Struthio camelus: one gene and its partners. The protein of the gene in region 1 purifies or fractionates together with the protein of each later gene. This does not show direct contact. Links are inferred from orthologs where the notes say so. Each region holds a gene or a part of one and is shown on either strand. Other genes may lie near its edges.

Evidence for each region.
Region 2: the proteins of U2AF2 (region 1) and HNRNPC fractionate together in Homo sapiens (co-fractionation; 3 studies listed by BioGRID, with this or other methods). This does not show direct contact. The link is inferred for Struthio camelus from reciprocal best matches to the Homo sapiens genes U2AF2 and HNRNPC.
Region 3: the proteins of U2AF2 (region 1) and SNRNP200 fractionate together in Homo sapiens (co-fractionation; 3 studies listed by BioGRID, with this or other methods). This does not show direct contact. The link is inferred for Struthio camelus from reciprocal best matches to the Homo sapiens genes U2AF2 and SNRNP200.
Region 4: the proteins of U2AF2 (region 1) and SNRPD1 fractionate together in Homo sapiens (co-fractionation; 3 studies listed by BioGRID, with this or other methods). This does not show direct contact. The link is inferred for Struthio camelus from reciprocal best matches to the Homo sapiens genes U2AF2 and SNRPD1.

What each region holds. Positions count from the first base shown.
Region 1 is NW_027182594.1:221,329-228,347, forward strand, and holds the start of U2AF2 (splicing factor U2AF 65 kDa subunit), read left to right. Parts: upstream 1-4,018; 5' UTR 4,019-4,110; coding exon 4,111-4,159; intron 4,160-4,826; coding exon 4,827-4,962; intron 4,963-5,086; coding exon 5,087-5,116; intron 5,117-5,231; coding exon 5,232-5,335; intron 5,336-5,457; coding exon 5,458-5,609; intron 5,610-6,315; coding exon 6,316-6,432; intron 6,433-6,542; coding exon 6,543-6,681; intron 6,682-7,019. Other genes in the region: CCDC106 (coiled-coil domain-containing protein 106), read left to right, coding at 1,421-1,737. UniProt on the Homo sapiens protein: Plays a role in pre-mRNA splicing and 3'-end processing. By recruiting PRPF19 and the PRP19C/Prp19 complex/NTC/Nineteen complex to the RNA polymerase II C-terminal domain (CTD), and thereby pre-mRNA, may couple transcription to splicing.
Region 2 is NC_090970.1:27,498-34,717, forward strand, and holds the start of HNRNPC (heterogeneous nuclear ribonucleoproteins C1/C2), read right to left. Parts: upstream 3,009-7,220; 5' UTR 2,545-3,008; intron 929-2,544; exon of another isoform or gene 774-928; intron 485-773; 5' UTR 459-484; exon of another isoform or gene 1-458. Other genes in the region: G-protein coupled receptor 4-like, read right to left, coding at 3,656-4,636; RPGRIP1 (X-linked retinitis pigmentosa GTPase regulator-interacting protein 1), read left to right, coding at 6,362-6,515, 6,599-7,075, 7,188-7,220. UniProt on the Homo sapiens protein: Binds pre-mRNA and nucleates the assembly of 40S hnRNP particles. Interacts with poly-U tracts in the 3'-UTR or 5'-UTR of mRNA and modulates the stability and the level of translation of bound mRNA molecules. Single HNRNPC tetramers bind 230-240 nucleotides.
Region 3 is NC_090968.1:1,325,457-1,333,367, reverse strand, and holds the start of SNRNP200 (U5 small nuclear ribonucleoprotein 200 kDa helicase), read right to left. Parts: upstream 3,002-7,911; 5' UTR 2,898-3,001; coding exon 2,853-2,897; intron 1,997-2,852; coding exon 1,833-1,996; intron 1,378-1,832; coding exon 1,206-1,377; intron 782-1,205; coding exon 589-781; intron 330-588; coding exon 274-329; intron 1-273. Other genes in the region: protein FAM178B, read left to right, coding at 3,527-4,213, 4,313-4,359, 4,434-4,544, 4,639-4,788, 5,061-5,166, 5,258-5,336, 5,416-5,536, 5,622-5,712 and 6 more. UniProt on the Homo sapiens protein: Catalyzes the ATP-dependent unwinding of U4/U6 RNA duplices, an essential step in the assembly of a catalytically active spliceosome. Plays a role in pre-mRNA splicing as a core component of precatalytic, catalytic and postcatalytic spliceosomal complexes.
Region 4 is NC_090943.1:50,585,838-50,593,584, reverse strand, and holds the start of SNRPD1 (small nuclear ribonucleoprotein Sm D1), read left to right. Parts: upstream 1-4,747; 5' UTR 4,748-4,972; coding exon 4,973-4,986; intron 4,987-5,563; coding exon 5,564-5,640; intron 5,641-7,747. Other genes in the region: SACM1L (phosphatidylinositol-3-phosphatase SAC1), read left to right, coding at 357-414, 1,186-1,322. UniProt on the Homo sapiens protein: Plays a role in pre-mRNA splicing as a core component of the spliceosomal U1, U2, U4 and U5 small nuclear ribonucleoproteins (snRNPs), the building blocks of the spliceosome.

The DNA of each region.
Region 1 (7,019 bases):
CAGGGACCATGCGGACCCCCCCCCAGGGCCCCCCTTGGGGACACCAGGGCCCCCCCCGGGACACCACCCCCCGTCCCTGTCCCTCCCCAGGGGACCCCGGACGTGACGGAGTCTCTCTCTTTCTCTGTCCCGCATCTGTCTGTCCCCGTGTCTGTCCCTGTCCCCGTGTCCTCATCCCCGTCTGTCCCCATGTCCCTGTCCATCCTGTGTCTGTCCCCGTGTCCTCGTGTCCGTCCTGTCCCCATGTCCTCGTCCCCCTCGTCTCCATCCTCGTGTCCTCATGTCCGTCCCGTCCCTGCGTCTCCACGTCCTCGCGTCCGTCCCCATGTCCTCGTGTCCGTCCTGTCCCCATGTCCTCGTCCCCCTCGTCTCCATCCCCGTGTCCCCATGTCCTTGCGTCTGTCCCCATGTCCTCGTGTCCGTCCTGTCCCCATGTCCTCGTCCCCCTCGTCTCCATCCCCGTGTCCTCATATCCGTCCCGTCCCTGCGTCCCCACGTCCTCGCGTCTGTCCCCATGTCCTCGTCCCCCTCGTCTCCATCCCCGTGTCCTCATATCCGTCCCGTGCCTGCGTCCCCACGTCCTCGCGTCTGTCCCCATGTCCTCGTGTCCGTCCTGTCCCCATGTCCTCGTCCCCCTCGTCTCCATCCCCGTGTCCTCATATCCGTCCCGTGCCTGCGTCCCCACGTCCTCGCATCTGTCCCCATGTCCTCGTCCCCCTCGTCTCCATCCCCGTGTCCTCATGTCCGTCCCGTCCCTGCGTCCCCACGTCCTCGCGTCCGTCCCCATGTCCTCGTCCCCCTCGTCTCCATCCCCGTGTCCTCATGTCCGTCCCGTGCCTGCGTCCCCACGTCCTCGCATCTGTCCCCATGTCCTCGTCCCCCTCGTCTCCATCCCCGTGTCCTCATATCCGTCCCGTGCCTGCGTCCCCACGTCCTCGCGTCTGTCCCCATGTCCTCGTCCCCCTCGTCTCCATCCCCGTGTCCTCATATCCGTCCCGTGCCTGCGTCCCCACGTCCTCGCGTCTGTCCCCATGTCCTCGTCCCCCTCGTCTCCATCCCCGTGTCCTCATGTCCGTCCCGTGCCTGCGTCCCCACGTCCTCGCATCTGTCCCCATGTCCTCGTCCCCCTCGTCTCCATCCCCGTGTCCTCATGTCCGTCCCGTCCCTGCGTCCCCACGTCCTCGCGTCCGTCCCCATGTCCTCGTCCCCCTCGTCTCCATCCCCGTGTCCTCATGTCCGTCCCGTCCCTGCGTCCCCACGTCCTCGCATCTGTCCCCATGTCCTCGTCCCCCTCGTCTCCATCCCCGTGTCCTCATGTCCGTCCCGTGCCTGCGTCCCCACGTCCTCGCGTCTGTCCCCATGTCCTCGTGCCCACCCGTCCCCGCGTCCCCACCCTTGGGGCCCCGCGCCCGGGGGGCAGTGAAGGACGCCGACGGGGTGCTGTGCCGCTACAAGAAGATCCTGACGACGTTCCAGAAGCTGAAGAGCATGAGCCGGGCCTTCGAGCACCACCGCGTCGACCGCAACACGGTGGCGCTGACGACGCCCATCGCCGAGCTGCTCATCGTGGCGCCCGAGAAGCTGGCCGAGGTGGGCGAGTTCGACCCCTCCAAGGAGCGGCTCCTCGAGTACTCGCGCCGCTGCTTCCTGGCCCTCGACGACGAGACCCTCAAGAAGGTGCAGGCCCTCAAGAAGAGCAAGCTGCTGCTGCCCATCACCTACCGCTTCAAGCGGTGATGGGCCCCCCCTCCGGACGCCTGGGCCCCCCCACCTCCCCCGACCCGGCCTGGAGCCCCTGCACCCCACCCCGGACGCCTGGGACTCCCCCAGGAGCCCCCCTCAGCCTCCCCCGGATGCCTGGGCCCCCCCAGGAGCCCCCCCGGATGCCTGGGACCCCCCCCAGGAGCCCTCCTCACCTCCCCCTGGATGCCTGGGACCCCCCCTCAGCCTCCCCCGGATGCCTGGGCCCCCCCAGGAGACCCCCCCCGGACACCTGGGACCCCTCCAGGAGCCCCCCTCACCTCCCCCTGGACGCCTGGGACCCCCCTGGACACCTGGGTCTCCCCAGGAGCCCCCCTCAGCCTCCCCCGGACACCTGGGCCCCCCCAGGAGACCCCCCCTGGATGCCTGGGACCCCCCCAGGAGCCACCCTGGATGCCTCAGACCCCCCCAGGAGCCCCCTTCAGCCCCCCCCAAACCAGCCTGGAGCCCCAAGACTCTCCCCTCAGACGCCTGGGCCCCCCTCCAGCTCCCCTCAACCCGGCCTGGAGCCCCAACACCCTCTCCCAGACGCCTGGGCCCAGCCCCAACCTGGCCTGGAGCACTGAGACCCCTCCCGGATGCCTGGGCCCCCCTCCCAGACCCCCAAACCACCCCCCAACCTGGCCTGGAGCCCCCCCCCAGCACACTGGGGACCCCCGAGAGCCCCCCGGACGCCTGGGCCCCCCTCCCAGACCCCCAAACCACCCCCCAACCTGGCCTGGAGCCCTCCCCCAGCACACTGGGGACCCCCGAGAGACCCCCCCGGACACCTGGGCCCCAGCCAGGAGCCCCCCCCCCCGGAAGCCTGGGCCCCCCCGGGGGGTGAGGGGTCCCCTGCCCCCCCCCAGCTCGGTGTCAGTGACGTTTCTGCCCCCCCCCGTCACCTGGACCAGGGAAAAAGCAGGAAAAGGAAGAAAAAAAAAAAAAAGAAAACACCCTGGAAAAGGGAGAGAAAAATGTACAAAAACAACCGGTTTCTGGCAGAGACTTGACATGACAGAGGAGAAAGCGGCGATTTGGGATAAAAGCGACGTTTCCGGCTGTGTCTTTTCCCCACCGTGTGTTGGGGGGGGTCAGGGGTCACCGGGACCCTCGGGGTCAGGGGTCACCGGGGTCAGGGGTCACCGCGAGGGCTCCCCCCGCCCAGGGGGCACGTGCGGCTCCCGCCTGCCCGTGACGACACTTCCGCTGGCGGCCGGAAGCGCCGCTGCCCTCCGCGCGCGTGCGCGCGCGCTGGCTCCGCCCCCCCGGCGGAAGTTGCCGAAGCGGCGGTGGGCGGGGCTGGCGGACCGGAAGTCGCCCCTGGGCGGAAGCGGAAGTGAGGGAGCCTCGGCGAGGTCGCGGCTGGGAGCGGTGCCGATCCGCCCGCCGGGAGCCGCTCGGGGAGGGGGGAGGCGGGAGAAGCAGCTGGACCGGAGCGGCCGCTCACGGGCAGCCGGTCCCGGTCGCCGCGGCGGGGAGCGGAGCGAGGAGCGGGCGCGGCGGCGGCGGCGGCGGCGGCGGCGCAGCCGCCGCCCGGAAGTCGTCGAGGTCCCGCCCGGAAGTGACGGAGCAGCGAGGCGGAAGGAGCCGAAGCGGTGGGGGGAGCCCGAAGGGAGGCGAGCGCCGAGCGGGTAGAGCGGAGCGCAGGCGGAAAGAGCCGAGCGCCCAGCGAATAGAGCCGAGCGCGGCCGGAGGCAGCCGAGCGCCGAGCGGGTAGAGCCGAGCGCGGCCGGAAAGAGCCGAGTGCAGGCGGAAAGAGCCGAGCGCCGAGTGAATAGAGCGGCGCGCAGGCGCAAAGAGCCGAGCGCGGCCGGAAGGAGCCGAGCGCAGGTGGAAAGAGTCGAGTGCTGAGCGGGTAGAACCGAGCGCGTAGAACTGAGTGCAGGCGGAAAGAGCCGAGCGCCGAGCGGGTAGAGCCGAGCAGAGGCGGAAAGAGCCGAGTGCAGGCGGAAAGAGCCGAGCGCGGCCGGAGGCAGCCGAGCGGAGGCGGAAAGAGCCGAGTGCGGCCGGAAAGAGCCGAGCGCGGCCGAAGGGAGGCGAGCGCCGAGCGAATAGAGCCGAGCGCGGCCGAAGGGAGGCGAGCGCCGAGCGAATAGAGCCGAGCGCGGCCGGAGGGAGCCGAGCGCCGAGCGGGTAGAGCCGAGCGCGGCCGAAGGGAGCCGAGCGCGGCCGAAGGGAGCCGAGCGCGGCCGAAGGGAGCCGAGCGCGGCCGGAAGCGGCCGAGCGCGGGGCCGGAAGTGGCCGAGCGCTGCCGAGCGGGGGAAGGCGCCGCCGCGGCCTGCGCGGGGTCGGAGCCGGAGCCGCAGCCGGGAGCGGGGCCGAGGCCGAGGCGGGAGCGGGGCCGGGGCCGCCATCGCCGTCGCCATCATGTCCGACTTCGACGAGTTCGAGCGGCAGCTCAACGAGAACAAACAAGGTACCGGCGCGGTGGGGGGGGCGCCCGGGCCTGGCTTTCCCCTCCCCCCCCCCGTGGGTGTCTGGGGGGGGGATCCCCTTCACCCCCCCTTCACCCCCCATCACCCCCTCTTCACGCCCCTCACGGGGTCCTCGCACCCCCCCATGGCTCCCCCCCCACCATGAACCCTCCCCTTGGGGGGGGTCTCTCCCCCCCCCTTGAGGGGGTTCCCCCCCATCATGAATCTCCTTCTTGAGGATCCCTAAATCCCCCCCCTTCAATGTGGGGGCCTCCTTGAAGGGGTCTCTTCCGCTTCCCCCCCCCATGGCTGCCCCCCATTTTGGGGGTCTCTTCTCCCCCCCCAACCCCCCATTTCCCCATGGGGCTCTTGGTCCCTGCTGCTGGGGGGGGAGGATGGGGGTCCCCGTGGGCCCCCCCTGAAAAGGAGGGTCTGTGCCCCCCCCCCGTCTTTGTTTTGGGGGCGCCGGGGCGGCTCCTCGGCCGTCGGCGACTCCCCGTGGCCGAATCCCCCCCTCCCCGCCCGCCCGGCGCACGTGGCTCCTCCCGGCCTGCGGGAACGCCGCGGTGTGGGGTCGGGGGGGGGGAAAATGGGGCAGGAGGGGTCGTGGGGGGGGGTGGGCTGCCGACCCCCCCCCAACGCATCCCCCTGCGCCCCGACTGCCGGCAGAGCGTGACAAGGAGAACCGGCACCGGAAGCGCAGCCACAGCCGCTCGCGGAGCCGCGACCGGAAGCGCCGGAGCCGGAGCCGCGACCGGCGGAACAGAGACCAGCGCAGCGTCTCGCGGGACCGCCGGCGGCGCAGGTACGGCAGCGGCGGCGGTGGGGGGGGGGCACCCGGACGCCTGGGCCCTTCCCGGGGTGGGGGGGGGAGCCGCTTCCCTTTCGGAGCCCGCGCCGAGCGCAACAGCCTCTCCTTCCGCCCGCAGGTCGCCCCTGAGCCTCTCGGGTCCCCTGAGGTGAGTGGCCGTGGGCGCGGGGGGGGGGGGGCGGCGGCGGCTCTCGGGGGGCGGCGCGGGTTGGGGAGGGGTCTCCCCGCCGCCCCCCCGACCCCTGCGTGCCCCCCCCGCGCAGCCGCTCGCCCCGGCACGAGAAGAAGAAGAAGATCCGCAAGTACTGGGACGTGCCGCCGCCGGGCTTCGAGCACATCACGCCCATGCAGTACAAAGCCATGCAAGGTGCCCGCCGCCCTTCCTCCCCCCTCCTCTTCCTCCTCCTCCTCGCGCTCCTCGGGGCGCTCCGGGGGGGAGCCGCCGCCCTGACGGAGCCCCCCCGCCCCGCTCTCCGGTGTCGCCCGCAGCCGCCGGCCAGATCCCCGCCACGGCGCTGCTGCCCACCATGACGCCGGACGGGCTGGCCGTCACCCCCACGCCGGTGCCGGTGGTGGGCAGCCAGATGACGCGGCAGGCGCGGCGCCTCTACGTGGGCAACATCCCCTTCGGCATCACCGAGGTACTCGGGGAGGGGGGGGGCCGCCGCCGGCGCCGGCCGAGCCGCCGCTTCCCCAGCCGGAGCGCGGGCCGACGGCGGGCGTTCGGGAGCGGGGCGTTGGGGCGGCGGGAGGCGGACGGGCGCAGCCGAGGGATGACGCCGGCCACCTGGAGGAGCCATCCGCGACACGAGCTGGGTCAGGTCTCGGCGCCGAACCCCCCCCCCCTTCCCCCTTTTCCCTCCCCCCCCCCCCGGGTCTGTGTGCGAGCGGAAGAGGGTCCGGCCCCGGAAGCGGGATCACGCCGCCTCCGGACGTCTCCTGGACGTGGCCCGCGGGAGCGGAGCCCCACGCAGCGGCTAGCGCTGGAAGCCACCTCCTTCTCTGCTCTTTCTCTCTGTCTTCTCCCTCCCTGCTCCGTTCTCTGCTCTTCTCTCGCCATCGCTCTCTCTCTCTCTTTTTCTCTCTCCTTTATTTATTTTGAATTTGACTCTCGGCCTAAAAAACAAGATCAAAGAGTTGTTTCCATTTCTTTTTAAAGTGGAAATTGTGGGGCTGAAATCCCTCGTAGCACAAAAGTTTGCTACCGCCGCACCAGGCAAGTAGGTCGTTTCCCGCTTCCCGGCCCCCCCCCGCTCTCGTCTCCGCGCGCGCGGTCGGCTCGCCGGGCCCCGGGGGTCTCGCCGGCCGGCGTCACCGCGCCTCCCCCGCCTCTCTCCCCCCCCCCAGGAAGCCATGATGGACTTCTTCAACGCCCAGATGCGCCTCGGCGGCCTCACCCAGGCGCCCGGCAACCCGGTGCTGGCCGTGCAGATTAACCAGGACAAGAACTTCGCCTTCCTGGAGGTGAGCGCGGCTCTGCCGTCCCCCTCCCGCCTTTTCCCCCCGGCGGGGGGAAGCGCCGCCGGCGGCTCCGCTCACCGCCGCCCCCATTTTCCGCCCCCCCCCCCCCGCAGTTCCGCTCCGTGGACGAGACCACCCAGGCCATGGCGTTCGACGGGATCATCTTCCAGGGGCAGTCGCTGAAGATCCGCCGGCCCCACGACTACCAGCCGCTGCCCGGCATGTCGGAGAACCCCTCCGTCTACGTGCCGGGTGAGGGGGGGGGGACCGGGGCGCGCGTCACCCCGTCCCGTCCGGCGGGAGGCAGCTACCCGCCGCTGCGGCCGGCCCGGTGCCGCTTGGGCCGCCAAACGGGCTTTTGGCGGCCGCGGCGGGAGCATCCGGGGGTGCGGGGTGAGAAGGGGGGGGCGTTGGGGGTCGCCCCGGCCTCACGTCCCGCTCGGCCCCCATCCGGGGGGGGGCGAGAAGGGGGGGGGCGTTGGGGGTCGCCCCGGCCTCACGTCCTGCTCGGCCCCCATCCGGGGGGGGCGAGAAGGGGGGGGCGTTGGGGGTCGCCCCGGCCTCACGTCCCGCTCGGCCCCCATCCGGGG
Region 2 (7,220 bases), on another chromosome or scaffold:
CGACCAGCACCACAGACATCATATGGCAGCAACAGTTTAAAAATGGCACAAACGAAAGAGTAAAAATTAAAAAAATAAAAAAAAATAAAAAAAATAAAAAAAAATAAAAATACAGACTTCCAGAGACGCTCTAAAACAGTTCAGGAGAAACCGGGTCCCACTCTCAGCAGTCGGGGGAGGGGGGGGAAAGAGTTAACGTGATCAATCCACTTAAAAATTTTAAAAACCTCGCTGTGTCTCACAAAGGGTAAAAACCCAGCTCAGTCAGGAACACTCAGAAAAACTCGATTTCATCCGGTTAAAAATCAGCAGTGTCATTATCATCACCATCAGCAACATATCATCATAGTAAAGTCATCAGCATTATAGTAGTATAATAGTAATAGTAACTAGCAACAACAATAAAAAGGAAATCAGTGGAAAGGCAGGAAAAATGAAAAAAATTTTGAATAACTTACTGTAGCTGAAGATCAAAAAAATCTCGCTGTAAAAAAACAAAAATAAAAATAGCCCAGATTAGAAAAACGGGAGGTGCCGAAAGGTCAAGTCAGCAACGATCATTTCTGTTCTCTCCCTCTCTCTCACGCTCTGTTCCAGCCGCGGTTGCCAGAGGACCGCGCGGGGAGAGCTCTCGGCAGGAGACCATCAAAGCCCTTTGCACACCATCACTTCACTCTAAAAATACCCGAGAGAGGTCAGCTCATGAGGGGCTAAAAGGCTCCTCCTCTAACCCAGCTGCTGCAAAAAAAATACAGGTTGACTCTCAAAATTACATCTTAAATCCAGCTCCAGTGTGGCGCGGGGAGCAAGAGGCCGCAGGGGCACCGTTAAAATGGCTCTATAAAATCGGGAGGTGTGCGTGTGTGGGGAGGGGAGTTAATACGAAGCTGAGCTCCAGTGAGGAGGGATGGGGTTTCGCCTCGCTGCCCTGTGAAAGGAGAAGGGACAGATTGAGTCAGGGTTCCTCAGCAACGCTGCCCGCCTCTCCCGCTCCCCCCAAGAGAGATCGGCCGGCCTCCCAACGGCCCCAAGCTCACAGCTGTCCTCGCTTCCAGCTAACGCTCTTAAAACCGTCTCCGCTCTAATCCCTTCTGCTTCTCCCGTCTCCGAGGGAGCAGCTCGGACGTCAGACACCTGTGAGCTTGTGGCGGAGGGCGGATTCGTACAGGGCGATGCATCAGGCTCACACGCATAACCCTGAGGCAAGGAGGAGACGGGAGAACCGAGCGAACACACGACACATCGGATCCTGAAAGAGGATGCGAAGAGGGATCTACAAGCCAGGTCACTGGAGCTCAAGCAACCTCGGGGATCTGAGTCACAGCAGAGGCCAGAAGAAAGTCTTTTGGGTGTTTTTTTTTTTGGTTTGTTTGCTTTTTTTTTTCCCCCCCGCTTTTTAAACCCTGCCAGATACTGCAGAAGCAGGTTATTACCAGCAAAACGACAAGAGGGGGAAGGGGGGGGGGAATAAAGTTACAATCTCGGAAGGAACCAGAAAAGCTGGCGAGTGAGTATCGTGATGATGATGATGGCAGAGAGGAGCCTTTAGCCTGGAAGAGAAATACAGTGCTACATACACCCGCTCGCGTGTGATCCGGCCCGGGAGGGCGGGAAGGGGCTACGACAGGCGGCGACTGCCTCGGGCTACGGCTCGAGAGACAGGAAGGCGAGAAATGCAGAAAAGCAGTTTGTATTTATTTTGTTTTTTTTAAGGGGGGTAAGGGGAAAAAGGGGGGGAGGGAGAAATCCAGCCCCAAAAGCGGCCTGTTTTCCACCCAAATCTTCGGGCAGCGACGTCCTGTTACCTCCTCCTTCCCCCCCCCCCCCCCCCAACAACCCCGGCAGCTTTGGGGCTTCAACAGGGCCAGCGCCACGTGGAGTGTGGCCACGCCCCCTCCTGGGATGGCCACGCCCCCTTACCCCAATCCCGTCTGACTCTGCTCAGCGGGCTGGCCACGCCCACTCCAGGATGGCCACGCCCCCTCGGGGCGCTAGCCGCTTTCACCTGGCTTGACCACGCCCCCTCCTCGGGCTGGCGGCTTTCACCTGGCTTGGCCACGCCCCCTCCTCCCGGCTTGGCCACGCCCCCTCCTCCCGGCCCCTTCCCACAAGGGCTGTTTACGCAGCGCGTTCCCCCCCCCTCCACCGCAGAATGGTATCGCCCACAAGGAGGCGCCGCTCCGTTCTCCGCTTCCCCTCCTCCCCCCCCCCCTCCCCGGCTCTCGCCGTGGTCGCGCCCGGCCAACGGCTCCCCCTCCCCCCACACACACATACGGCGCTGTGGGACGCGCCGCCATCATCCCCCTCCCCCCCCTTCCTCCTCCTCCTCAAGGCAGCCGTTAACCGCCCCCCCTCCCACCATCACGGCGATGGGAAGGGTGTGTGTGGGGGGGGGAACAACGGCTGGTTCGCGCTGAGGCGGTGGAGAGGGGGGGCGGTGTGACGCCGTTAACTAAACCGGCGCCGCCGGCTCCCTTGGCTGCGGCCCAGCCCCCCCCGCCCCCCCCGCCCCACCCCGGGAGCGGGGAAACGGCGGCCACTCACCGCTCGCTCCGGCGCACGCTGCCCGCTTCTGCTTCCTCCTCGCCGCCGCCTCCCCGCTTGAGGCTGCTCACAAAATGGCGCCCACGCCGCCCTCTGCGCTGCTCGGCCCGGACGAAAGCCAGCCCAACCCCCCCCGCCGCGCCGCCGTTGGACGGCAGGGGAGGCGCTGCGCGCCGCGATTCGCTGAGCGGGGTGCCCGTCCGCGGACCAGCCAATGACAGAGGGGAGAGGGCGGGCCAACGCGCGGCAGCGCGGGAGGCGGGAGGAGGAGGCGATTGGCGAGCCTGCTTGTCACTCCAAGGCGCGAGGCCGGTGTCTGTTCTGATTGGTCGAGAGTGCTGTTCGTTTACCCCTTTCCGCCTATAAACGTGGGAGCGGCGCCGGCGCTCCCCGCCCCTAGGCGGGGCTGCCATAGACCGGGGGCAGAGGGGGGCGTAGCCCGAGCGCTGAAACCGAGCCGTTCTGCGCGTGCGCCTTGTGCTCTCCCACGGCTCCCCCCCCGCCCCGACACTCCGCGCCGGCGATTTCCTATTGGCCAGAAGACAATGACGCAAGGGCCAGGAGAGGGAGGGCGGGAGCTTCGGCACCGTCCTCGACGACGATTGGCTGAGGCGGGGCGCGGTGCCGGCAGGCTATTGTTCCATCCTCCTGTCAATCTCCCGGCCACCTCAACGCTGCACGCTGATAGGCTGGTTTGAAAGCTCGGGCACCGTTACCGGCAGCCTGGGGGCGGGGCCACCCTGACAGGAGAGGGGCGCTGCCGGGGTGTGAGGGCGGGGGGGGGGGGGGGGACGAGACCGCGTCGTCGTCGTCATCCCGGAGGCAGGAAAATGGGTTTTTTTTTTTTGGGGGGGGGGGAACGTTTGGAAAAAAAACAAAAATCGCTTGATGCGGTGAGGAAAAGTGGGGAACGGCCCCAAAAAACGAGGCTTGTTTGAGCCCCCCCCCCCCCAACTGCCGCCTCACGGGGCCTGGTCGTGTTCCCCCCCCCCCCCCGGCCCTGCCGCCAGCCCTGATCCCGGGGCTCGCTCCGTCCCGGATGCTCTTCCCGAAGCGGAGATGGCGGCGGCCGGGATGGAGGTTTGGGGGCTGGGCGGTTGGGGGGGGGGGGTCACAGCGCGGTGCACGCCGGTTGGGCCGCGTCCGGCCGGGCCGTGCCGGACACCATCGGCCGGCGGTGAGGGGCTCTGCCCCGGCCAGCCAGGCGCTTCCCCAGCTCCTCCCGCGCGTCGCCGAGGAGCAGGACGTAGAGGAGGGGGTCGGCCACGTCGCTGAGGGCGGTGAGGCACAGCGCCAGGCGGTCGTAGAGGAAGAGGCGGCTCTGGAAGGGGCAGGTGTCCTCCGACAGCAGCTGCGCCACGAACCTGGAGTAGGAGGTGGCCTGGTAAGGGACCTGGAGCAGGTAGAAGGCGGCAATCATGCAAGCGATGGACCGGGCGATCTTCCGCTTGGCTTTCCCATCCAGGCTGGTCATCTCCTTGAGCTTCCCCAGGCCGCGGAGGTAGAAGAAAGTCATGAAGAAGCAGGGCAGGAAGAAGGAGAGGGCCGCGGCGGTGGTCCTGAACAAGGCGTAGCCCTTTTCCCTCGGGCACAGCTGCTCGTAGCAGAGGTGAGGTTTCAGCATCTCCGAGGGCTGGAGGACGCCGCCCACCAGGCACACGGTGACCACCAGCGCCCACGAGGCAGCGCTCACCCCGGCCGCGCTGCGGGCCGCCTGCAGCCCGCGGAAGCGCAGGGGATGCGCCAGCCCCAGGTAGCGCGCCACGGCAATGAGGCAGAGGAAGCTGTTCTTGGCGTAGAGGGCAGCGAGGAAGGCCAGGCCCACCCCTGTGCAGGCGGCGCTGCCCCAGGGCCAAGCGTGGTCCCGCTGGCTGTAGTGGATCCAGAAGGGCAGCGTCAGAAGCTGCAGCAGGTTGGCCGCCATCGCGTTCAGCAAGTAGGCGGAGAGCGCCGACGCGTTGGCCTGGCACAGCAGGGCCCAGAAGGCCAGGGCGTTGAGGGGCAGACCGGCCACCAGCACGAGGCTGTAGATGGGGACGAGGAAATACTTGGTGGCGTTAAAGGGCACGTGCCACTGGGAGGAGTTGTCCATGCCGGGTCCTTGCGTGGCCGCGACCGAGGAAGCCGCTCTCCTGCGGTTCGCCAGTGGACCTCCGCCCGCTCCTCTCCGCTCAGCGTTTCTGCTCGAGAGAGGATGTTTCTGCACGGGAGAGGACAAAACGCAGCTCCAGCAGCATCCGTGGCGGCCGCGCGCTGGGTGTTTACCCCTCCTGCCAGCCCTCAGCCCCGCTGCCCTCCAGGAGCGGCTGCTTGCTCGTGTTCACTTCAGAGCGAACCGAGACATTTGTCCCAAAAAGCTGCGGTCAGAAAGCCGCGGTGACCCGCGCAGCTCGAAACGCCGCTGCGCAGGCTGGTGGGAACCGGGTTTCACCCCCGTTTGTGGCCTCGTGGCGGGGGTTAGCCGGCCTCAAAGAGAGCTGGGAAATGACACGCGATTAAATGAGCCGGGGCCAGGTGGGAAAGGCGCATCATCTTTCCGGTGTGCTGTATAGCATAGCTGAGTGCTGTGGGGGAGAAAACCGCCTAGTTTCACTCTGTCTTTCAGGGCAGAAATGACCTTATAGCTGCTCTTTGCCCCAACCACATGAACCGTTAGTCTCTCGGTCTGTCAGCTCTATGTAAAAGTTCCTCGCGACTCGTTCAAGCAGCAAATTATTGAGGTCTCGGCAGTCTGGTAGTTTCGTGGCTAGCACCAGCCGGAAAACGATTGAGCTTTTGGGAAGAACTGGCCTTTCCCGCTTGTCTGCTGCTAAGAGAGCACCAGGCCGCGCTTGTTACCGTTTTCCTTAATTTTTCCTTCTGGTCCTCCTTCCCCGATCCACGCTTCCCCAGGTCAAAGCGCGAGTCGGAGCAACGCGCCTGCCTCTAGCGCCTGTCCCAAAAGCCGTCCGCGCCGCACAAGCGGCGGGTCGGGGAGGACGAGCCGCCCCGCTCCGAGAAGGGAACCGCACGCCGCGCCGACCAGCGTTCCCCGCAGCCCGTAGGGCGCGAGGGGAGGCAAACCTGCCCGATCTCGGGACGGAGAAATTCCCCGCGCTTGCTCCGAGCCGGGGGACGGCAGCACCCCGTTTTTTTTGTTTTTTGCCCAAGCAACGCGACCGGCGGCGCAGTTCGAGCGGCAAGACCCTCACCTGGAAATCGCGCTCCCGCTCCGGGGCTGGCTGGACCGAAGCCGGACTCCGGTTACAGGGCGGCGAGTTTGCGCCGTCTACGGAGAGAAAAGAGCCGCGGTGAGCGCCTGCCGCGCGCGCCGCTACAGCCCAACTGCTCCAGCGCAGGCCGGCCGCGCGGCGAGGCCTCCGCCGCCTTCGACTCGCCTTCCGCCGCGCTGAAACCACTCTCACCACAGCCCCAGCGCCGGCTCACGTACGCCAGCACCCCCCCTCCCCGCCGAGGCGCCTTCCTCCTCCGCCGAGGGGGGCTTTTCGCGCCCCGAAAAATCACGCCGAGGTCGGGCACGGAGCCGGGGCGCCGCCGTGCCCGACCTCGGCGCGGGGAAGCGCAGGCAGGAACGTCAGCGCCTGCTGGCGGGGTGGGGGGGGGGGGGCGTCCGACGGATTAGGCGGATTACGGGGGGATATTCCCCGCTGTCCGGGCGGGACGCGGTGCCGCTGGGTTTGGGGCAGCCGAGGTATTTACGCCTCTGAAATTCGCCTGGCAGATGGCAGCGGATTAACCGGCAGGCAAAACCCTCCACCGCCGCTAACCGGCGGCCCGCCGTCGCTTCCCCGCTCGCAGGCCGGACCCTCCCGCAGCCATGGCCCGGCCGCTGCTGGACGAGACGGCCGGAGAGCTGCCCGTCAGGGACACGGACCCCGTCGCGGATCAGCCCCGCCGCGGGGTTTTCGGCTCCGCGGGCGCGCCGGCCCCTCGCGCGGCGGAGGCCCCGGGGGCGAGGAGCAAGCCCCGAGGTGAGCGCGCGAGGCGATAGCCGCCGGGACGGGGATCGGCTTCAGATCAGGAACCGTTTCGGAGCTCTTCGTTTCGTTTTCAGAGCTGGCGACGCAGCCCCGGAGCCGCGGGGAGCCGGAGGAGCGTGGCTCGCGCCCGCGGGAGCGGATCGAGAGGCGGCGACAGCCCCTCGGCCCCGCCGTTGCCCCCGCGGGGTCCGGCGGCCGGCCGGAGCCGACGAAAACCCGGGAGGAGCCGCGGGGAGGCGCGGGCGACCTGGAGCGGCGAAAACGGGCCCTGCGGAGGCGCCTGCTCGCCTACCAGCAGCAGCTGCAGCTCCGGCGCCGCCGCCACCGGCCACCGCGCCGAGCCCGCTCCGCCGGCGCGAGAGGGAGCGGAAAGCGTCGGCCGGGTGAGGCTGGGAGCGCCGCCGCCCTCCCCGAAGCGCCCTCGAGCGCGTCTCCCTCCGCGCCCGCCCAAAACTCGCCCGCCTGCTCCCTCCAGGGGCGCCGGAGCCGGCACCGGCGGCGAGAACGGACCGCGCGGATCCCCAGGACGCCGGGCCCCGCGCGGAGAGGCCGTGAGTCTGTCAGCTCCCCTCCCCCCCCCAAACTTTGGGGCAACACCGGTGTTTTGCCTGTGTCTAAGCTCTTTTCCCGCACGGAAAACATCCCCGCCTCGGTCTCTCGCAGCGCGCGGGGAGCGGGCTGCGCGGAGCGGCGGCC
Region 3 (7,911 bases), on another chromosome or scaffold:
TTCTTCCAAGAGATCTAAATATCACCATCTGTTTTCAGTAACATGCACTCACAATCAGCCTCAGATTAGCAAGATAATCAACAAATCCTCCCAAAGCCAGGAAGCAGTGTCTAAAGTAATCTGGCCTCTCCTTCCTGGCAGAGGTATCCTAGCCTGAGCCAATGCCTGCTTCCCCAGCATGGCTGAGGAAAGCCAAGCACACGTGGTCCCTGCTGAGCAGCTCAACAAGCAAGGGGGGACAGCACAGAGACCCCGCAGCGTCTCATCTCTTACCTCCTCATCAGACTCGAACTGTACATTCACACCATACGTCTCATCAATATTGTCATCTGCAAGGGAGAGCCAAGTTAATTAATCTGAAAATCTGGAGACCATATGCAAGCTCTGCAGATCCACACATCCCACCTCCGTACATCCAAATTTTGAAAAGAACCAGGTTTCGGGCTTGAAAAGAGTCCAAAATTTTCTAGCTCCTCTGTGTGAAAACACTATTCCTGGAGTAAGGCTGGGTTTGGTACCAATTACCGTAATACTACTTTCTGCCAGCCCCGTTACTACAGCTGCAGCCCGCTACAGCACAGCCCATACCCATGTTCTGGATTTCCTTGTCGCCACCATAATCCGTGATCTTCTTGCCCAGGTTCACCAGCACGTGGTAGCGGGTATCATCAGTCTGGCCCAGTAGCAAATCAATCTCCTTCCGCCTCTCCTTATCACGCAGCTTCTCATTCTTCAGGACTGCCAGGACCTCATCAGCAGCTCCACAGAGAATGTCACGTGGCTGCAAAATAAAGAACGTGACCACGTGTTGCCAAGAAGAGGACTGTCATTCAAACGGTACGGTATCACTCCCTCCTATTTCTGGACCAAATCCTTTCAGCTTTCTGTTCTCAAGTCCTGGAACAAATAGCTCACCAGATTTAGAAAACATCTCGTTTCGAGCTCTGCACCCTCACGTAGGCACGGGGGGAGCAGAGATTGTGCCATCGAAAGGTCACATCCCACGACAGAGATATGCCACCCCGCATCAGTGTAACGAATATACTAACGTGATATCTACAAGCACAAAACACAGAATCAAGGGAGCGAATCCATCTCATGGGATAACGAAGAAGGACTCGGATTTCTCTCTCGCACTTTTACATGCACGCTTTGAATCCTCTGCTGGAGCAGAGATACCCTCGCTGACCTGTCCACGTCCTTACCTGGTCCCCAAGGGCTGCCTGAATGAAGCTTAGCAACACCTCATAGGTCTCGCGGGTCTCCTTGGTTTTGGGTTTGTAGATGATCCCCACCATCTCATCAATGCCCTCAGACAGCAGGGTATAACCCTTCATCTTGTTGATATCATGCCTGTCTTCATCACGCTTCCTTCGCCTAGAAAGAAGGGCAAGGAAGACAGCACCTGGGTTAGTCAGGAAGCAGAGCCGCTTCTCCCACTCTACGCCAAAGCAGCGGGAATCAAGGAGTCGTTTCTCTTTGACATAAGATACCATTAAGAGAGCTTTATGCAGCATGAACTCTCGAACCTGAAAAAGTTTCACAGTTCGGTTTATTCTACCACATTCACTTAAACACAAAACAATTGATTTGAAGTACAGATGCTCTTTTTAGTAGCTGGAAAGCGACCTGAATGGGGGTCGTAATTGTATTGAATTATACCACATTCACAGAACTAAAACAAGTTGAGATTGTATTACTTAAAAGACGGGGTCTAGCACATTAATTGCCTAGAGCTTTGTTAATCCAAATACAACCAGGAGGTTCTCTTTCAGGGCTCTGCGTCCCTTCGGCTTCGAACGGCAAGCTCAGGGCAGGAGTCAATCACTCACTTTGCTCGTCTTTCCTCCTGCATCTGCGGTTTGGTTCTCTGGGCCTTGTCTCCCATTCGGGTGCCCTCAAGCTTTCCAACCAAGGAAAGCACTTCTCCGGTCGGCTCATCTCGCCGAGTCCTGTCGATGAGGGAGCGATCTGCTTGAAGGACGAGGTTGGAGTTCTGGAAGAGAAAGAATAAAAACAGGCACTAATCGGGCCTGTGAAAATATTAACGCAATCCACGCAGTCCACTGCATCCGGACAGGTGAGACCAAGAAGCCAGCGCCAGCCGCGACCTAGGCCAAAGCAGGTTCAGTGCAGCAACCTCCCCCGCTCAAATCTAGAAGCCTCTTCTGCCTGCTCCAGAGGCTCTATTAAGTACATAAAACCCCCTTTAATGCAGCATGTCCAACTTTCCCCTGCCCAATGCAGGAAAAATAATGCCGAATTAAATTATTCATGCTTGAAGAGGCCACAGTTTTAGACTTTAAACTTGGACTGAGTCACGTGACGGCACCCTGTAACTTCTGGCAGTCGGGAAAGTCCCCGTAGGGTTCGCTCGTTACGCTACAGCATCTGACAACTACACCAGAACCGGAGCTTTTATTCTGCAGAAAGCCTCAGAGTCTGACAGGAGCACTTTTAAAATTAGCTTCAAAGCGGGCGTCGCACTCATTTCTGTTTTCCAAGGACGCCGAGCTCCTGACCGCTCTTGTAACAGCGGTGCTACAAAGAAATGTTCTCAAACTGGCTGGTTTTTAGGGGGCCCAGGGGGAAGGGGCGCTGCTGCGGCCGCGCCCAGGCGCGCCTAAACGGCTGCAGGGCGTCCTGGGGGCCGCGTCCTGCTCCAGCCAGCGGCGCTGCCCGCCCGCAGACCCCCGCGGCTGCCCGGCTCCCCTTCACGGCGACGTCCCGCCGAGCTGCGGCAGCACCGAGGCCGCGGGAGCCCGGGACCCGACCGGGCCGGGCCGCGGGGGGAACCCGGAGCCCTCCCGGCGCCTCGGGGGAGGTTCAAGGCCCCGCCGGGCCGCACTCACCGCTTTGTACTCGTACTGGAGGCTCCGCGCTGTCACATCCGCCATGGCGCCGCCGGGCTGGCCGCCGCCGCGCACCGGAGCAGGCAGCGGAACTTCCGGGGCAAGCGGAAGCAGTCTCCGGTGCCCCTAGGCGACCCGGAAGTGCTGGTGCCGCGGGGCGGCGTTGCCCCCTCGGGACTACAACTCCCAGCATGCCCTGCTGCCTCGGGGACTACATCTCCCAGCATGCGAGGCGGGAGTCTGCTGAGGGGAGGAGACACTCACGGAGGGGCTAGCCCCGCCTCTCATGCTGATTGGCAGGGGGGCGGGGCTTTGCCGTTGATAGACCGTTCCCTTGCTCCTCCCCACCAAAGAGCTGGCTCGGCCAGACGCGAGGGGGCGGGGCGCGCCGCCCTGCCCCAGCTCCGATTGGCTCAGACGGGAAAGGAGGCGGGGAGGAAGGGGCGGGGCCGTTGCCAGTTGCCATTTGAAAGCAGCGCCGCGGGTAGGAGGGGCCAGCGCCGCACATACCCCCCCCTCCCCCCACCCACCAGCCTCCCATTGGCCCTCCTCCCGCTCGGCCCCGCCCCTTTCGCCCAGGCCCCGCCCTTTCCTCGCACCCCGCCCAGCTAAGCCCCACCCCCAGAGCCCAGCGGGCACCCCCCCCCCCCCGCCGCCCCCTCGAGGGCCCGGCCATGGCGCCGCCGGGGCTGCGCTGGTACCAGATCCCGCTGTCGTCGGCCCGGGCCCCCCGCACCGGCCTCTTCAGCCCCCGCTTCCAGGCCAGCCTCCAGCGCTACCAGCAGCTGCGGGCCCTCAAGCAGCTGCGCGTGGGGCCCCCCTTCGCCCTGCCGCCCCCCGGCCTGCTGGAGGCCGCCCCCGGCCCCCCGGGCCTGCGCCGGCCGCGTGAGGCCGGCAGGGCGCGAGGCGAGCGGTCACCGCCACCACCACCGGCGGCGGCGGGGGGGGGCCGGCGAGGACCGCGCGCCCGGCCCCCTCCGCACCCCCGCCGCCCTCCGCCGGCGGCCGAGCGCCGCCCCGCCGCCCCGCCGCCCCGCCGGCCCAAAGAGACGCGCGGCGCGTCGAGCAGGCAACGCGCCGCCGGCCCCGGGGCCGGCCGGAGCTCCTCGCCGAAACGAGCGTCGCCCGGGCCGGCCCCGGCGTCGCGTCGCTCCCGGCTCAGCCCCGGGGGCGAGGGCGGGCGCCGCCGCGCCGGAGGCGGACGGTCGCCGGGGCGGCCACGAGGCCGGGCGGCTTGCGGGCGCCCGCCGGACGAGGCCAGCGGGCGGGCGTCCCCCGAGGACGGCGAGGACGTCCTGATCCCGTTGCGGGACCTGCTGCTGGCGGGCGACGAGGCCCGGAGCCCACCGCGGCGCGGCCGGGTAGGTCCCTGCTTGGCGCCCGCCGGGCATCCGGCTCCTTCCCCTGGGGTGTCGCGGGAGCCGCTGGGGAGTTAACGCTTTCTTGCCCTGTGCCCGCAGCCGGATCCGCTCGCCAACAGCCTGGATTCGCTGGTCAAGGAGAAGAGGTGAGGCGGGCCCAGGGCGTCACGCTAAGGGGCGCCCGACGGCCCCCGTCGCGCCCTAAGCGCCCCCGTGGCAGGGAGCAGGACCAGGCGGCCGCGCCGCGCAGCAGCCCGGAGTGGGTATGCGAGGACGACGGCAGCCCGCAGGAGTCCCCGGACGAGGACGCCCCGCTGCCCGAGGAGCACAGGTAGCAGTGGCGCGGGCAGGCGGGTGGCCGCCGCGGGGCACCCGCCGCCCGCCCGCCCAGCACCACGGCGGCCGCTCTGCCCTCCGGCCCGCAGGCTCTTCCTGGCCCGCTTCGCCGTCAAACCGGCGCTCATCCCGGCCGTGCACCCCGGCGAGCCCGTCTTCCACGCCCGCCCGCTGCCCGCGCCCACCCTCGACGCTGGCGGGCTGCAGCCTCAGAGCGACCTGGAAGCGCTCTTCCTCCGGTGAGAGCCCGGCGGCGGGGGTCCCGGCGGCTCCGCGCGCCCGTGGCCCGTCCCCCGGGCTGGGTGACGCCCTGCGGGAACACGTCAGCCGGCGTCTGGGCGCGACGGCAGCCCTGCCGGCACGCGCGCGGTCCTGCCTGCGGGCGAGGGCGGGTGTTCGTGTATTTGGTTGGGGGCGGGTATTTGTTATGTTTGCACGCGGGTGCCCGCGCCGGGCTGCGCGTCCGCCTGTGTCCGTGGTCGGGCACACGCACCCGTGTCACCCTCCGTAGCGCCTCGCCTGCCTGCCAAGCCGCCTTCGTCCGTGAGGGCCACCTCAGCCTGCTGTACCGCTGCGTGCCCGCGTGCCCGCTGCCCGTCCTGCGCTGGCTCTTCCAGGTAAGCCGGGCCCCCGCGGTGGGAGGATCCCCGTTGTCCCAGCCGTGCCCGGGCGGCGCCACAGCCGGTGACGCCCTCTTTGCTTTGGCAGCTGATGGCCCTGTGCCCGGATACGGCCAACGCTTTCCAGGTGCTGTGGGACATCAACGTGCACCGGCTGAGCACCGTGGGTGAGCGCGGGGTGGGCACGGGGCTGCCTTCACCCGGGGCGCCCCCTACCCCGCTCTCACCGGCCCCCCTCGCCCGCAGGGGAGCCCTGGTGCCCCACGGTGCCGGAGATCAGCCAGGTTTTCTGCCGCCTGGGCGCCGACCTTGGCGCCCTGCACCGCCAGGGCCTGCTGCCCCTCGAGCTGTGCCCCGCGGACAGGAGGTGAGCCCGGGATCGGCGCGGGAGAATCGGGACGCCTGGGTCCGCTCGGGTGCCCCCCGCGCTGACCCCGCTCCTCTCCCTGCAGGCCCCCGGACCCTCCCCGATGCCCGGGGCAGGCAGACCCCGAGGCGACCAGCGCCCTGGCGCTGGCGACGCAGCTCAGCGACATCTGCAAGGTGGCAGCGCGGCGCCCGTGCCCGCCCCGCGGTGGGACCTAGCGCCCGCTGGCGCGGGCAGCCTGGCACAGGGAGGTGGCTGCATCCACCCGGAGGGGCTCGTGTGGCAGCACCCGGGCGCCTCCGTCCTGGCTGACCGCCCTCGTTATCTCCGCCCAGCTAATGGGGCTGCTGCTAATGAGAGTCAGGCCCGGAGCAGCGCTGATGCCAGCTGCTGGAGGGGTGCCCGCTGCGGCTGCCGCCAGTCCATCCCTGCCCCAGCAACGATGCGGGCACGGGGGTGGTTCAGGGGTGTGTTCGGGATCCTTGGCGCCCGGCTCACACGCTGCCTTCCCCTGCCAGCTCCTGGCGCTGTGTGTGGTCGCCCAGCCAGGCCGCTACCCCGACCGTGCCCGCCTGGCGCTCCTCACCCTGCTCTGCTTCCTCAGCCTCGACCGGGCGCTGCGGTGCCAGCCCCTGCCCGACCTGCAGCACCTCCTGCACTGCCTGCTGGAGGGCATTGGGGACTGGCAGGAGCAGGTACCCGAGGCAAGGGGAGCAAACCCTGCTGCACATCACCAACGCAACAAGTTGGGCGTGCTCAGCGGTCGGGCTGAGCCTGGCGCCCCCGCGCCCCGTCCCCTCGAGGGCTCTGCCGCCCGGGTGCAGCCCCGTGCCCGCCCTGCTCGTCGCTCAGCACCTCCTTCTCTCCCCAGCTGCCAAATCTGTGCCTGTCCCTGTGCCAGGTCTCGCAGCACCACCATAACCTGGTTGCCGTCGTGCGCCTGCTCCCGGACATCACGAGCAGGGGCAGGTACGTGCCCGCGCATTGGCACTACCTGCATCCCACCCCCCGGGATGCTGAAGCAGTTGCTGGCATCGCACCGAGCATCTCGTGCCCCCCGCGCCGCGGTGACGGGGAGTCGAGCTCCGTTTTGCCATGCAGGAGCCTGGCACGGCCCTGCGGGCGCCGTGCCAGGGCCAGGCTCGGATGCGTCTCGCTCTAATTCCTTTATTCCAACCGGCTGCACGCGCACAAAGCGGGCAGGACCCGGCTGCCGGCTCCGCTCGGGGCACCGCCGCCCCTCGCCCCGGGCACCTGGAGTGCGCCGGGACTGTGCCATGCCAGGCGCTGCACAGACGATCCAGCCTGGCACACGGGCGTGGGTTGTGCAGGGCCGGGCACGTGGCGGGGTGCGTGGGCGCGAGCTGGCACCTCTCCCCGTGCCACGCCAGCCCCAACACCCTTCTCACGCTCTTGCCTTCTCCGCAGGGAGCTTCGCCGACACCTGAGCCTCTGCATCATGGCCCGGCTGCTGGGGGAGCCGCTGGGCACGGTGCTGCCCGGCCGGGCGCAAGCAGAGGTGGGCGCAGCCTGGGCGCTCCCTCGTTTTCAGAATGGCATCCGTTACGGGCTCCGGTACCCTGTGAGCGGTGCCTCTGCGGGCGCGCGGGGAGACAAGGCAGCCCGGCTGGGCGGGCGTCAGCCTGCGCCCCTGACGCCCACTCTCCCCACCAGCTGCAGGCGCTGTGCCACCTCCTGGCGCTGGTCCGGCCCGCCACCCTGCAGCGCCTGGTGCTCGCCGGGTGCCAGAACGAGCCAGAGGACCCCGACCAGGAGGTGGGTGCTCGCTGCTCGGAAAACGGGTGCCGCGCCGGAGCTGCTGTTCCCCAGGATACCCTCCACCGTGCTGGTTTGGGCTGGACCTGGCGTGGGGAGCAAGGGAGCCTGGTGCGCCAAGGGGTGGCGGGCGCCCCAGGAGCAGCGCCAAGCCGTGCCCGCTCTCGCCCGCAGGCCTGCTACCTGAGCCACAGCCTCCTCATCCTCGCCAACGCCGTGGTGGGCACCGAGCGCTTGCTGGATGAGCAGCGGGTGAGCGGGGAGGGCGCGGGGGCGGCCCGGGGGTGCCCGCCGCCACCGCTGCCGCCTTGACGCCCCCGCGCCTGTCCCCCGCAGGGTCACCTCCAGCACCTCTGCACCCAGCTGGACCGGCAGCTCGGGGCCGGCCTCCGCGAGGGCTCCGGCCTCCTCTTCCGCACCCAGCTGAAGGGCTTGGCCACCCTCACCTACGTCAAGTGGCAGGACCTGCTGGCACAGCGCCCGCCGTGGGTAAGGGGCACCCCGGGGTGCTCCAGCCCTGCGCCGGCGGAGGCGGGGGCGGAGGGGGGACAAGCGGGCACCCCGGGGGGGGGAGCTGAGCCCCACGCCGCCGTGTCTCC
Region 4 (7,747 bases), on another chromosome or scaffold:
GTAGAGTGTAACATGAAGAAATCTTAATTTTTTTGCCGTCCTCCCCCGTGTATATCATGTAGTGAAATGGGGTGGGGATATTAGAGGTTGAATTGGTGGTTCATGTATTTATATTTAAAAAAAAAAAGTTCACCCCTCTTCTAATATAATAGAAGATACATTTTTAGTTCTGAACTTATTATTGAACACACCTTTACAAGTTTTAAGTCATCCAAAATTTTACACTTGTACTTCAATAATTGAAGTAACCTTATTGCAAGACAAGTAAATAGCTTTGCAGCACAACCAATCTTAAAGGATATTAAGTAATACATGTTCTATTATATCATGTAATTATTCTTTTTCTCTTTCTTCAGTTACCGATTATTATGGTGGTTGCTTTCTCTATGTGCATTATTTGTTTGCTAATGGCTGGTAAGTCACTATTTAGTTTGACTTCACAAAATTAGCTTGCTTGTATATTGTTTTTTGTTTGTTTCTTTTAATAAATGGGTGTTAGAAACTATTTAGTATATATTTGCTTGCCTCTCAGTCATACTAAAAGGTCTCCAAGCATGGCTCTGGAGACTGAGGGTCAGCACTACGTCATTAATGTGAAAAACCTGAGGTACTATAGAAAATGAAGCTAAAATTAGTAGAAGTAATTTAGGTGTCATTTAATTGCCCCAACATTTAGTCGGTTGCACTTCAGTTGGATGTCTGGCTTTGCTATAGGCTGGATGAATCCCTTCACAAATACCTACCTAATTCTGAGCAGAAAGTCAATCCAGATAAGGCAGATGTTGGTGTAAGCTTGGTCTGAAAGAAGCCCCCCTTGATCTAAATCCATGTGACAAATTGTGGAGTTCTCGCCTTTTGCCTTTGCCTTGAATTTTATAACATGAGTGCCAATGGAGTACTTGACTCCGTGACCTCTGTAGCTGTGTTTAAAGTGCTGTTGGAGTTGTGTGTGGCAAACAGCAGAATGCTAGCTTAAGAACAAATAATTGTGGCTTGTCAACCTCTAGGAGAGGAGGTATGACATAGTATAACAAAAGACCCTAGTACCTGTGGACGTGCTTTCAACTTCAACGTTTGATGGCAGATCTCTGTGGGAGGGCTTGGGCAACTATTTTGCTTTTGTATTAAAATACTCTTATAGGTAATGAGAGATAATGACATGAAGTGTTTATCGACTCTCAACAGGTGATACATGGACTGAGACATTGGCCTATGTACTGTTCTGGGGAAGTGCAAGCTTTGGAACTTTTGCTATCATCCTTTACAACGGCAAGGATTTTGTAGATGCACCCAAACTGGTCCAGAAAGAGAAGATGGACTGAATTTGTGTGTGTGGAAAGCGGCTTGGTACAGAGGATTCCTCAAGCCACACCTGGAGTCTCTACTGACCTGCTTTCCACACCAAATAGTGGTCTTTTTAACGTTCATCCTTGGCAGCACGGGGAGAAAGTGAATCGTCGTCTTTCGTGGTAGCTTTCAGCTGAGATCTGACTCTACAGTCTTGGTTGCAGTGATCTTTGGAATGTTGCATTAGTGGAGGAGGCTCCACCCTTACCAAGATAATTCAAAGATGAAAGCCAGCTTTGTGGCGTCTGGAGTGTTACAAGATATAAATGGACTGCGTAAGTTCGCAGTCCACCTGGGTAGTCTCATCTGAATTTTTGATCTCTGGTTTGACAGGAGAGAGCCCTCATTCTGTTCATGTGTCAACCTATCCAGGTGTTGGAGTATTATTAATAGAGGGGTCTAATCATGTTCTTTGAGCAATATGGCTTAATAGCAGTAACTTGTTCTTAGATTTACAGCTGGATTACATTTGTTAAAGTCCACGTTAAGGAGTCTTTTTGTGCATATTTATGTATTTTTCACTAAACATAAAGGATTGTTGAATCCTAATGCTTCTCCTCTAAAATAAGCTTTGCACCCTGTCTTATCTAGGACTGATGCAATATTCTACTAATCATTGTTTGGGTGAAAGGACAGTGTATTTGGATGCTTCTGAAATTGCAAATGTCTTGCACTGTTTCAATACTGCAGTCTTTAGATGATGATTCATTAGTTAGTGAGTTAAAATATATAACCTTCTTTCTAAAGACGTAAATGAAATCAAAGAATGTAGACTCCTCTGCAGTGTTTATTGAACCCTCCTTATGCTAAAGGTCCAAAGTACACCATTATTTTAAGAACGGTCACAAGATTAAAAAAAATGAACTTCATATTATTTTGCTAGTCAGCTGCTTCTATATTTTTTGGTTATGTTAGAATAATTTATGGAAGAAGGAGTAACAACCTGAGGAGAAAAGCGTTAGGCAAAACCCCATGTTTGCACTTGGGAGCAACAGCTTGCTTTTCGTGCATGATGTTGTAACACACTCTTAAAAACAAAAACAAGAAACTAAGCTACAAAATAACTTGTGCTGGTTAACCATGAATGTGTGTCTTTAAACTTAGTGCTTCCAAGCTGTATAAAAATAAGTAATCCTAATCAAGGACCAATTTTAAACTATTTTGTCACTTATTTTATATGGTTTGTTCAAAACCAGACGTGAAACTTGCTTTGGGCGCTGTGCATTGTTTAATATTTCCTGTAAGTACAGCTGTATATTCGGATTGCGGTTATAAAGCTTAAATGGGGAGAAGGGAGAAACATGTAGAATACTAGGGCTAGCACAGTTCTCACTGTTGAAGCGAGAACACAAAACACTGATACTGCAGTGTTTCATTGTGTTATGACTGAAAATATGTACAGATTTTTGCAATTGTTAACTGTTCATTTTAACCTTGAATGTTTCTGGAGGCCTCTCTGGGTTTTGTTTAAAGGTAATCTGTTCATAAGCACTAGTAATTGCAAAGTATCTGTTTGCTTTTAGATGCTGTAATGGAAATACCAGTTGAGACAGTTAACTGGAAAATCCTCTAACTTAAAATTTTCAAACATGAACTCCATAATGGATATAAAGTATAAGAACATCATAGACTATCTAAAAGTACTGTTTTGGGGGGTTTGGGTATTTTTTCTTTTTTAAATGGCTCACTGGCAGGTGGCATTTGAAACTTGGTTCAGTTGTCTTGCAGTCTGTAACTAGATATCTGCGTCTTCGGTGAAGAACCCGTTGCAACAAAGACCAAACTTGAATTGCTAGTATAAACACGTTGTAAGACATAGACTAACGTAGGTTTTCAAAGTTGGAGGGCATCTGTATTTCAGTGCTTTGCAAAGAGTCTGTATTTCTAAAGTCACAAATGGTGTACTCATAAATGACAATAAAATGTCCAACTTTTCTATATACTGTCAGTTGTGTTTTGTGCTTTGAGTGGACTTTTTCCAAATGGTTCAAGGTCTTTTTCCACCAGAAAGATGCTTCCGATTTGTTGCGGTTCATAGCAGGTAAATATCCTGCTGTTTCTGTGCTTAAATATTGACGATCTTGCACTGAGCACCAAGCATTTTCATTAGCATCGTGTTCTGCTCTTCCGTGCCAATTCTGGATCTTACATTTCTGAGAACTGTTACGGGTGGATTTTTCTTGAGATTAAGCGCAAGCCTCACCTCTTCTCAGTGTTCAAGGCTCTCGTACTTTCCCAACACTAGTTTGGTGGGTTGTTTTGTTGTATTGGGTTGTTTTTTTTTTTGTGTGGACAATAATAGCCCCTCAAAGTGAAAATTCAAGTCACTATCCTTTTTCCTTCCCTCACTGCAGATAGGCATGAGGGTTTTTTTTTTTAAGTCTGTTTTTTCATGCTTGTGTTGCAGTTTGCTAGAGCAACCCGCTGGCCTGTTGGAAACAGTCAAATGCACTTGTCTAAATGCAGAGGTTCTGAACAAGCTGTTTCTGAATGACTAATGAAATAATAGTTTGAGTGTAGTGTTGACATTTTAAATAGGATCAAGCTTCACTAGATGACTAGGTGTGCACAATCATATAAGATGATTGCTAGTAAAATTGTATACTGGTATAACAAAATTGGTCCTGAAGCCATTAGTTGAAAGAACTTGTTTTTTTTTCTTTTTAAACTTTGTCATCTTTTGTGGGGGGAGAGGGGTAGACTTTTAAGTTTAGAGCAGCTTTACTGGGAAGCAACTTGGGAAAATACTGAAATAATTGCCTGAAAGGTAAGGCAAATGTAGTGGCAGAGCTCCGTGCCCTACAAGTAGGGTTGGTTGGCCCAGAACAAAATGTGAAGTTCAGCAGCATTTGTTTGTGAATCTACTTCCATCTGGCTCTTTTTTTTTTTTAAATCTAATTCTTTTTTTCTTCATATTTACACTCTTGTTTCTTGTTTCTTTTCTCCCCCTGTCATTAAACTGTTAGGCAAAAAAGGAAAATCAAGAAAAGGAAAGAAACGGCCCTTGCTCTTTCCTGGCTTCCCTGTGGTGAAATCCTACCACCCAGCATAACCTTCCCTTGCCCCCCAGCTGCTCCTTAGGGCCTGCGTCATATAATGTTGCATAAACAGTCACTTTATGGGAGCAAACACTTTATATAAAAATGTATTTTTACCTCAACCCTCAGGTTTTTGCTGAGGGTGGTGTGTGTGTGATTTTTTTTTTTTTTTAATATCGTGGCAGTGGGTACTGCATAGAGGGAAAAATCTCGAGCTGTGCTTCGAGCCCTGTTACCGGCTGGTTTGGAAAAGACTGTTATCCTGGCCTCTTTTAATGTTACAAAAATAATAATCATTATTTAAGCCCGCCCGCCCGCTCCCTGCCTTCGCGCCCCTGCGCACTGCGCATGCGCTGACCCCCCTCCCCCGCTGGGGGATGGGGCGGGGCCGCCCCTTCCGGCGCCTGCGCGGCGCCGCTTCCGCTCATTCATTCTCCTCGGCGGCTGCCGCTTCCTGGCGCCAGTGGCGGCGCGGCCTGCTCGCAGCAGCCTCCGCCGCGCCCGCCGCCCGGGCCCTCCCGCCCAGGGCCTCTCCTCTGCCCCGCGCGGCGGCCGCCGCTGCGTGCTGAAGGCGCCGCCCGGCCGCCATGAAGCTCGTCAGGTGAGCGGATGGAGGCGGATGGAGGCGGCCGGGCCTGGCGGCGGAGGCGGGGAAGCGGCCGCGCTCGCGCCGGGCCGCGCTAACGGTCGCCGCGCTAACGGTCGCCTCGCGGGCGCCCCTCCCCCCGCCGGGCGGCGGCTCCGCCGTGACCTGAATGCCGGGGGTGGGGTGGGGGGAGGCTGGAGTGCTCAGAAAGCCCTGATTTTTGGGGGGGAAAGCCAGAAATTATTTTCTGGCGGTACTGAGAAGCGCTGAAACGTTTCCTTCTTTGTTCCGGATAAGCGCAGTATCCGGGGCAGGGTGCTGAAGTCGGTAGCAGCTGTGCGGTGTCCCGGCTCCTCCCGGTCGGGTAGGGGTCGCGCCTCGTCTGGTTTCTTGTGTCTTGCGCTCGTGCAGTGCCTTAATAAACGTTTTCGGTAGAACCCGCGAGATCTGGAAGCGTTTTCTTGGTAAACGTGAGAGGTGTGGGCCCTGACGTGCATCAGTGTTCTCTAGTAGAGAATGTTATGTGATAACCCATGTTGGCTTTATGTGGGAGTAACAAAAAAACAAAAAAAATACCTTTTTTAATTTCTAGGTTTCTCATGAAACTCAGTCATGAGACTGTGACCATTGAGCTGAAGAATGGGACGCAGGTGCATGGAACTATCACAGGTATGACATGGTGGTAAAGACTAGAGCAAAATACCGGCTGTTCCTTTTCTGCGCATAATTGGCAATTGTGGTTTGGCTTGGGCTTTTTTGTTTTGTACTCTTTCTTATGATGACCCTCTAGTTCGTATCCTTTTACGAGTATCAAGTGTGTTTTTTGCAGAAGAGTCTGGGCGTTTGCAGGAGCTACTAAAAATACAGTGAAGAGCTTTGACCAGTCGGCTTACCACACACCACCATCATCTTTGGCCTGGTATCAGGGCCAGTTCACCTGCAGTCAAACTTACAAACTATATCAACAGCGTAATATGCCATCTGTTCATAAGCACTGCTGGGAGATAGTGGATTGATTGTAGTACTTATTGGGAGCCTCCAAGTCGGATGGTCCTGTGGGCTCTGCTTACAAGTAGGCTTAGGGGAAAACGAAGTAAACCTACGCAGACTGTTTTGTGGAGCAAATCTGATGCAAGAATGATCTAGTCTTAGAATTTTAGCAGCATGATAATGTTGGTGAGCTAATTCTAGCTCCCTATCAAACTGGTATACTATAGCCATGTAAGAACTTTATAGTAGAGCCACCAGCAGAGGATTTCTTTGTGTCTGTAGTAGGTAAATGGCAAATGTTAAGCATTCACGTAGTCTTCAGTCAGTCCAAGTACGCTGTAGATGATTTTAATCTAGAAGGAAATTATTTATTTTGAGTGTAGCTTTGCTCTGTTTAAGGTGACTTTATATAGGAATGCATCTTTAGGTACGCTTGCATTAATTTCCTGAAACTGATTTGAAAACGCACAGCTTGATGAGGGATACAGGGCAGAGAGGAATCCTGGTGTAAAGAATCTGGTTCGTAGCTGTTGCCAATGATTTATCATGTAATAATCTAAGTTTGTGAACGTTAATGTCCAGGGAGGGGTAAATCTATAAAACGTGCTAGTTTATAAAATGAATGCGTTCCTTTATGTCACCGAACTGAAAGTTGTGGGGTAAGCCTTTCAAACTCAGCTTCCTATATATTTAAAAACGCATGGACTGTTTTGTTTTTTTCATAATGTCAGAGACTGGTGTTGCTCTGAGAATATTTGTGTTAGAATTACTTCAGAGGCAATCAGGTCTATGGGGTGTGCTGTTGTTAAAGCAAACCCTTGCGGATAAGTTGAGGAACGTTCTTGGTCTCCTTTGCACCCTAGACTGCTTTTAGAAGCTCTTCTGCCCTGACGTTATTTGTAGCAAAGTTCACGCTTGGCAGAGCTGTATTCCTGGCGATTGCTGAAGTTCCTTTTTGGTCAGTAGCAATGTGCTGAAGTTTGGCAGGGTTAAAATCTGTTGAACGTGGCATTATTCTGCTGCCAGGTCTATCAGCTTTGATTAGCACCTGAATGTACCATCTTGATACTCTGATTGCAGCATGCTCTATTGAACCCGACTAGGTGGGAAATGAAGAACGTCTCCGTCTGACCTTGGTGCTCTTGCAGGCTTAGTTATTGAGCAAAGCCTTGTGTCATGCTAAGAATCTGTAAAAACTTGGAATGGAACCCATGTTTCTAAAATGACACTCTTCCCTTTACACTGCTGCATGAGCCACGTTAATATTTGCTGTGACATCTGCAAAATGTAGTATCTCCTGGTGTATCAGGAGATGCTTGGCCAGAGCAAGCATGCTGAAGGGGCGAGCTTTATGCTACGCATACGTTACACAAATAAGGGGACAGGTCAGGTGGATTACAGATGTTGGAGAACTGTTTTATTTAAGTAAAATCTAGGATTGGGGTGGGGGGATGGAAGAAATACTTGGAGGTCACAAGTGCATTTTTTGTGAACTTTGGAGCTCTGCTAAGCTCCTTTGGTGATTAGGCTGAATTCATAAAATTATGAAACCATTTAAAGGCATAAGCACAGAACAGTGGTCCTATTTCTGGTCTGCTACTCGTTTACATTATTTGCCTTGATGAAGCACTTGTCTTTCAGTTTTATCTTTCCATATTTTTGAAATGAGACAATAGTTGCTTTTACCTCACAGAGCTGTTTGTTCACACACTTTGAATACATTAAAATTTTGCTCATGTGGGGTGCCTTGTCACTGAATTAGCGGATTTTTTGTAAATTATAATTT